2 linked regions of the Rhinolophus ferrumequinum genome follow. The protein of the gene in region 2 binds, or shares a complex with, the protein of the main gene of each other region. Links are inferred from orthologs where the notes say so. Each region holds a gene or a part of one and is shown on either strand. Other genes may lie near its edges.

Region 1 (3,915 bases), on a different chromosome or scaffold from region 2:
TGTTTCTTCCCCCAACCCCTGTCCATCTCTTCCCACCTCTGTCCATCTCCCCCACTTCTGTCCATCTCCCTCCACTTCAGTTCATCTCCCCCCACCCGGTCCATGTCCCTCCATCTCCATCCACCTCCCCTACCTGTCTGTCTCTCCCACTTCTGTCCATCTCTCTCCACTCATCTGTCTCCCTCTACCTCTATCCATCTCCCCCACTCCGGTCCATCTCCCCATCTCTGTCCATCTCCCTCCATCTCTAGCCGCCCCTCCTCCCCCTGTCCATCTCCCCACTTTTCTGCACCTCCCCTCTCAGCTCTGCCCATCTTGACACTGCCCTGCCTTTCCCCTACTTTGTCCCCCAGGTATACGCACTGTTGGGTTCCAGGCTGGCAGCAGCACTGTCATCTCGGCCGGGGGCCCCTCATGCCTGTGGCCAGATCTTGCAAGGGACAGAAGAGCAAGTCTTGGACCCCCACACCCCAGTCCCTTCCTCTCCCGCCCCTTAACCTCCCTACCCCTCCCTTGGCCCCTTGATGTGGTCAAGTTTCTGCCTCTTTCTCCCTCGGGCTTCCTGCATGCGCCCCAGTTACGGTGAAAACTCCGCATCTCTCCTTCTAAGAACCCCGACGTCCGGTCCCCGGAACACTCCCCAGGCAAGGACCCAGGAACCTGACCCCCACCCCTCCTCCCTCAGCCCCAGGAGGGGGACCCCGGCCCCGCCCCTCGGGGACCCGTAGTTCATGTCTCCTCCCGCACCAGGCTTGCCCCAGCTGGGTGTGGAAAGGGCCAGGCCGAGTGACAGCCAGAGATCGAAAGTGAAAGAATATTTTGGGGGGAGATAAATGAGTTGGGGTGGATCTGGTTGAGTCCTGGGACGCCACCTGGTGGTGATAGGTAGCGGCTCACACCGCGAAGAAGGGTGCCTCGTCCTGGGGGGCTGAGTTTGGGTAAACTCCCGGGGTAGGACACACAGTGAATGGGGACTTGGGGTTCGAACCCGGATCTGTCTCCAGTTAGAACCAATGCACATATGGCAAGGAGGAGGTCACCTTGAGCCCCTCATCTTCTCCTTGAACCCCAAAGTCTTGGCGTGGACTTGTGACTGTTTCTCACTGCCCACGCATAGTCCAGTCCATTCGCAAATCTGTTGGCTGACCGTCCAAATGCATCCAGAATCCGATCAGTTCTCCACCTCCGCTGCCATCACCCGGGGTCAGCCACCATTATCTCCCACCTGAGTATCACAGTGGCCTCCTCACCTCTGTTATTCATATCTCGCCAGAGGGAGCTTATGAAGATCTAAGTCAGCTCACACCCCACCTCTGCTCCAAATCCTCCCATCTCCCACCACATTCTGATTAAAAGACCAAGTTCTCAGTGAGGCCCAAACAGACCTGAAAGATCTAGCCGGGTTCCTTCTCTGCCCTGGCCTCCTGGCGGTGCCTGGGGTAGGCACACTCTGGCCCCAGGGCCTTTGCACTGCCATTCCCTTAGCCTGAATGCCCTCCCCTCCAGATGCCCACAGGGCTCAAACCTCCCCCCCCCCATCCCATTCAGGCCTTTGCTCACACACACAGGCAGAGCCTTCCCCACCACCCTTTTTCAAATTGCACTCCTGCTTTGGTCTCTCCCTTGTCACTTATATATCACCTTCTGACATACCAAGCACTTTACTTACCTTCTTCATTGTCAGTTTTCCCCACGGGGACGTCAGCTCCAGGAGAACCACGGTGGGCGTCTGTTTATTCTGCTGGATCTCCAGCACCTAGAACTGTGCTTGGCTCAGAGCAGGTGTTCAATCAATCTTTGTTGAATGAATAAATGGATCCTGGCCTCTTTCCTTCTTCATTATTGTAGTTTAAAAGAGAACATGTCTGGTCTTTGTCTCTGGTTCCTAGGAGACCACCTCTGAAGTCCTCAGACTTTCCCAGATAAGTGATAGGAGTGTCTTTGTTATTCCTGAGGGGCCCCCTGAAATCACCTGAGTTTATGCTAATGAGGTGACTCAGGATGGGGGTTGGGCAGGCAAGAAAGACCAACGCAAGATTAAAGGGGTTGGGCTTTAAGACATAGGATATCCTAACTTGTGGACCTCCCACCTCCAACCTCCAGGAAAGGGGAGCAGGCTAGACACTGATTTCCACCTCTGCCTCTTGGCTTTGTCCTCTTGTGTCTTCTCCCCTTCTGTCTCTTGTAAGGACACCTGTCATTAGATTTAGGTCCCACTTGGATAACCCAGGATGATCTTCTCTCAGGATCCTTAACTGAATTACATCTGAAAAGACTGTTTTTCCAAATGTCACATTCATAGGTTCAAGTGATGAGGATGCGAACATATCTTTTGGGGGACCACTATTCAGCCCACTAGAGTTCCCCCAAAGCTGTTTCCCACCTGTGGGCCTTTGTACGTGCTGTTCCCTCTGCCTGGGATGCTCTCTGCCACTTTTCTAGCCTAATCAGATACTCATTGTACTTCTAGACTCAATGCAATCACTAATCATCAGGGAAATGAAAATCAAAACCACAATGAGATACCACCTCACATCTGTAGAAAGATTATAAAAAAGACAGGAAATAACAAGTGTTGGTGAGGGTGTGGAAAAAAGGAACCCTTGTGCACTGTTGGTGGGAATGTAAAATGATGCAGCCACCGTGGAAAACAGTATGGAGATTCCTCAAAAAATTAAAACTACCACATGATCCAGCAATCCCACATCTGGGTATTTATCCAAAGGAAATGAAATCAGGATCCTTAGGGGTTTCTGCACTCCATGTTCACTGCAGCATTATTTACAACAGTTAAGACATGGAAACAACCTAAGTGTCCACTGAGGCATGGAGAAAGATGTGACATTATAATATATACATAACATACATATATATTCTTCAGCCACGAAAAGGAAATACTACCATTTGTAACAACATGGATGAACCTGGAGGACATTATGCTAAGTGAAATAAAGCAGACAGAGAAAGACAAACACTGTTTGATCTCACTTCCCTGTGGAAAAGTCAGACTCAGAACCAAAGAGTAGAACGGTGGTTGCCAGGGGTTGGAGGTGTGGGGGAAATGGGGAGATGTCGGTCAAAGAATACAAACTTCCATTTAGAAAATGAGTAAGTGCTGGGGACGTGATGTACAACACGGTGACTATAGTTAATGATACGTATTCTGTATTGCACACTTGCAAGTTGCTGAGAGATCTTAAGTGTTCTCACACACACACACACAAAGGTAATTATGTGACGTCATATGCATAATTAACCTGATTATGGTAACCATTTCACAATGCTATGTATATTAAAGCATCAGGTTGCACACCTTAAAAAAGCATATTGTACAATGGAAATATATACAATTTTGTCAATCATACCTCAACAAAACTAGAAAAACAAAAACCCTCAGTGTAAATAGCATGGTCCTTGGGAAGATTCCCACCACCTCTCTCACCCTCATCCCACATGAACATGAGTGCACACGTACACACACGTGCGCACACGCACACACACACACAGTCAGGCTAGGTATGGTGCCTACTCTGGGCCCCCAGAGTACCCTGACCGTCCTCTATTATAGTACACATCACCTTAGGTTATGTCTGTCTTTCAACCAGAGTTGAGCCTACCTCTCCTCTGATCACAGACCCTCTATGGCTCCCTAGTGCCCTTGAGACAAATCCCAGCCTCTGCTGACACCTTGATTTTCGCTCAGTGAAACCCATGTCAGACTTCTGACCTCCAAAATTATAATACTCTTGTTTCATTTAAGCCATTGACTGTGGTAATTTGTTACAGCAGTGACAGGAAACTAATACACCTTTCACCCACTAGAACATAAGCTCCATGAGGCCAGGTTGTCTTGTTCTTGTCTCCCCAGCACCTAAAGCAATGCTTCACTCATAGGAGGCACTCGATAGATATTTG
Region 2 (3,915 bases):
AGTGAAAGAGGTCGTATATCATATTTACTGAAATCTTGAAGTCCTCCCCTTTCTTATCCAGCACCAGCACACAATGCAGTGAAGGCCATGGCCAGTACATTTCTGTACATACTTCTTAGAAAGACTCAGCATTCATTATTCATGAAAGGTAGAGCTTACAATATCAGGGAAATGGGGATCGAATATTATACTTTCAGGAATTTAGAGCTTTTAGACATTTTTAAATTTTTCCATTATGGTTGCTATTCAATAATGTTTTATATTACTTTTGGGTGTACAGCATTGTGGTTAGACAAAGCTTTTACACGTTTTAAAGCCCTCACTTTTAAGCTCCTCATTTTGTGTTTCTTTATTAAAAAAAATCTGTACTACTGGGTGTTGGCAGTGATGCGAGGGACTGGAAACCCCCATATACTGCCAGTGGGAATGTAAACTGGTACGACCACTATGAAAAACTGTTGGACAGAGTCCAACAAAACTGAATATACACCTTCCCCTATAATACTCGTGGGTATCATCCTAGGAGAAATGGGAGTTCATGTCCACCAAAAAATGTGCCAAAGAATGTTCACAGCACTATTATTCATATTACACAAAACTGAAAATAACTTACATGTTCAACAAGAGAATGGATAAGTTGTATAGTATATTCATATTAAGGACTAGTACCCAGCAATTAAAAAAATTACCACTGCTGCTGAGAACAAGGTTGAATCTCCTAATCACAATATTGAGTGAAAGAATCTGGACATAAAAGAGTATATCATGGTGGTCTGGTTTACATGAAGTTCAAAAACAGGCAAACCAATGGTATAAGAAGTCGAAATAGTGGCTACGTTTGCAGGGTACTGACTGAAACAGGGCGGAGCTAGACTTGCTCAAAACTTGGTCCAACAGTGATTATGTGGGTACATACATACCTGTATGTAAAAACTAATGAAGTTGCACTGTTAAGATTTGTGCATATTTGCTATATGCAAATTATACCTCATTTACAAAAATCTGGAGAGAGATGTCAAAATCTGGGGGCTCATTCCTAAATAAAGAATTCAATGCAGCTTAAATATAGTTGCAAATACTGATCTTTACTTTTCCAAAGCCTTTGTGTGCCACCGAAAAACTCACTTATCGGTGTCATACCTAACAGAAAGTTAACTCTTTTTATTCATAGACTGAAAAACATATTGTACTATGCATTTGAAATGTACCTATTTACCAACTAGTAAATCTGTTTCAGAAATGCAAACTGTCTGTTTTCCCACTTCTTTCCTCCTTATGTTACGTTTCTTACTCTGTAATTCTGAATGATGTGTAACAACAGCTTTGGACATACTTCCTGCACGTCTATATCGGAAATCTTTTCTCTCTTTACCACAGAGACCTTAAGTTAGAACCCTAGAATGTGGGAGCTGTGGGTGCCGCTTCCAAGACTGTAGAAGGAGAATAAGGGACCCGAGGCTCTCGGTCTCCCAGAACTCTGTCTCCTTCATCCCAAACTCCAGAGTCAACCATCTCATCTTTCCAAACGGATGGAGTGGATCTTTTAGAAAGGGTTATTTATTTATTTGTTTATTTATTTATTTATTTATTTATTTAGTAGTAATCACTATGCTACCCAGCAGATTATTTGGGAACCGTCACCTGAGTCCTTGAAAACTCCCTTGGGGTTTAATGCCAGGATAAAAATCCAGTAGAGGAGGAAGGGGCAGCTAGTATTTTAATATGCAAATCCTCTTTGCATAACATTTCCAAAGTCACTACTCGTTGACCCAACCGAAACTTGGCGTGGGTAGGGGTCGTTATTACGAATGAGTCTCTTCGGGAAAACGCGGGCGAATTTTCCAATCAGAGTTCACTCCACACATAAAAACCCCAAAAGAAGAGCTGAAAGACGCCACCCGGGAGCCTACGATATCCAGGGTCGGTCCTGGCGAGGTCCCGAGCCAACCGGCGCCAGCCTGGGGGTCCCAGACGCTGGCGGATGGCCCAGCACCCGAACCGAGCGGGAGCGCAGGCGGCGGAGCGGCCCCGGCCCGGGGCAGCGCCTCGGCGAGGCCGCCCGCGGAGTCCGGGCCGCAGATCCGGACGCGACCCGAGCCGGGCAGCGACTTTAGAGAAGAGGCAGGAGGATATGGGGTGGGCAGGACGGGGGCCGCGAGCCAGTTGAGGGCGAGTCGGGAGGGCGCAACATAGGGGAGGGGCGCGGGCGCGGGGAGGAACGCAGCGGTGGGGACCTGGAGGCGCGCGCCAGGCCACCGTGCGGGCTGGCGGCTGAGGCCGCGCCGGGGGCTATGGGGGCCACGAGCGGGCGGGCAGGGTCTTACCGAGCAGCGGCAGCCGGCCGCCGCGGCGCGTCAACGCCGGCATGGCCTCCGGAGCCCGGGGTCCCCAGGCCGCGCCGGCCCAGCCTGCGATGCCGCCCAGAGCGGCGCGCCCCGCGCTGCAGGTGGCTCGCTTAAGGATGCGCGTCACCGACCGCAAATTCCCTCGGACTGGTGCAAAGTGGAAGGGGGGAGGATCCCTCTCCCCACCCGCAGGGGCCGAGGCAGGCGAGCAGAGGTTGGGCAGAGCCGGCGCAGCTCTTCGGCCGAGCCCACGTGCCCGCCGTGTCCGCAGCCCGCGTTCCGCGCTCCCGGGGCTCCCCGGCGGTGGCGGCGGGGATTGGGCATCGTTTCGCCCGGGCAGTAGCAAGGGCTCTGCCGCTCCGGGTGGGGAGGAGGCACGGCAAGACCGGCCTTACCCCGCGAGTCCCTGAACGTTCTCGTTTGGATCCTGGAGCACGGGGACAGGTCTTTGAGGCCCCAGGATGGGAGATAAACCGCGCTCCACCCGCGGCTCTGGCCAGCGCGCAGGCCAGCAGAGGGTCGCGTTCCGCGCTCGGTGAATCCTGACTGCCCGCTGGTTTCCTTTGTCTCCCCCTCCGTCTCCTAGGATGCCCAGGACCCAGCCAGCAGTGGCAGCAAGAAAAACAGGCTGTTTCAATGTCAACCCAGGCAATTCGGGGGCTAGAACCTGCCATAGAAACAAAAGCAAAACACTGACAGTGCATCCCAGAGGATGTTTTGAATTATCCACTCCGTAGTTCTTGTTCTTCATTACATAGTATTTCAAGTTGAAATTTATTTTATTTGCAATAAATTGAAGATTGGAAAGCTGTGGATGCCAGTTCTGACTCTTGTTAAGCAGCGTTTTGACCTTCACAAGCCATTGCCTTCTCAGAGTCCCACTTTAATCACCTGGAAAGGAGGGGAATGGATCCAATGGTTTATAATGTGTCTCCAAATTCTAGGATTTCCAGGCTTTTAATTATTTTAATCATTTTCTAATAAAGCATGATAATTGACAATGTTCACTCTCGGCCATACAACCCTTTTTCACTACTGTAGTCTATAGAAAAATAATAGACCTTCCCCTACCCCGCAGGCATGACAGAAACTTTAAAGTGTCTACTATGATGCAGCCACCGTAGTGGCAATATGGCAGTTCCTCAAAAAAATTAAAAATAAAATTACCATATGATACACTAATTCTCGTATGTACCCAAAAGTACTGAAAGCAGGGTCATAAACAGATATTTGTGAACCTATATTCATAGCAACATTATTCACAATAGGCAAAAGGTGCAGGCAACCCAGATGTCCATCCAAAGATAAATGGATAAACAAAATTGGATAAATGGATAAAAAAATTAGTATATCCATACAATGGACTATTATTCAGCCTTAAACAGGGAGGAAACTACAACATGGAGGAACCTTGAGGACGTGCTAAGTGAATTAAGCCAGGCACAAAAAGACAAAAACCGTATGACTCTACTTATATAAGGTACCTAGAGTAGTCAAATCCATAGAGAAAGAAAGTAGAAGCTTGGTTGCCAGGGGTTGGAGGCAGAGGGAGTAGAGAGTGGTTATTAAG

Evidence for each region.
Region 1: the proteins of FLT3 (region 2) and FLT3LG are in contact, whole or in part, in a crystal structure (PDB 7QDP), measured with the Homo sapiens proteins. The link is inferred for Rhinolophus ferrumequinum from reciprocal best matches to the Homo sapiens genes FLT3 and FLT3LG. Residues at the interface, in NP_004110.2 of Homo sapiens: Asp180, His279, Gly280, Phe281, Gly282, Met300, Ser301, Thr302, Tyr303, Asn306, Arg307, Met309, Arg311, Ser333; in NP_001191431.1 of Homo sapiens: His34, Ser35, Pro36, Ile37, Ser38, Ser39, Asp40, Lys44, Lys87, Glu99, Asn102, Thr103, Glu104, His106, Phe107.

Annotation. Positions count from the first base shown.
Region 1 is NC_046298.1:44,623,618-44,627,532, reverse strand, and holds the start of FLT3LG (fms-related tyrosine kinase 3 ligand), read right to left. Parts: upstream 2,490-3,915; 5' UTR 1,670-2,489; intron 1,204-1,669; exon of another isoform or gene 1,055-1,203; coding exon of another isoform or gene 1,041-1,054; intron 862-1,040; exon of another isoform or gene 748-861; intron 431-747; coding exon of another isoform or gene 397-430; coding exon 364-396; intron 1-363. UniProt on the Homo sapiens protein: Stimulates the proliferation of early hematopoietic cells by activating FLT3. Synergizes well with a number of other colony stimulating factors and interleukins. Required for the development of B cells, and dendritic cells (DCs).
Region 2 is NC_046287.1:99,999,995-100,003,909, forward strand, and holds the start of FLT3 (receptor-type tyrosine-protein kinase FLT3), read right to left. Parts: upstream 2,570-3,915; 5' UTR 2,368-2,569; coding exon 2,325-2,367; intron 1-2,324. UniProt on the Homo sapiens protein: Tyrosine-protein kinase that acts as a cell-surface receptor for the cytokine FLT3LG and regulates differentiation, proliferation and survival of hematopoietic progenitor cells and of dendritic cells.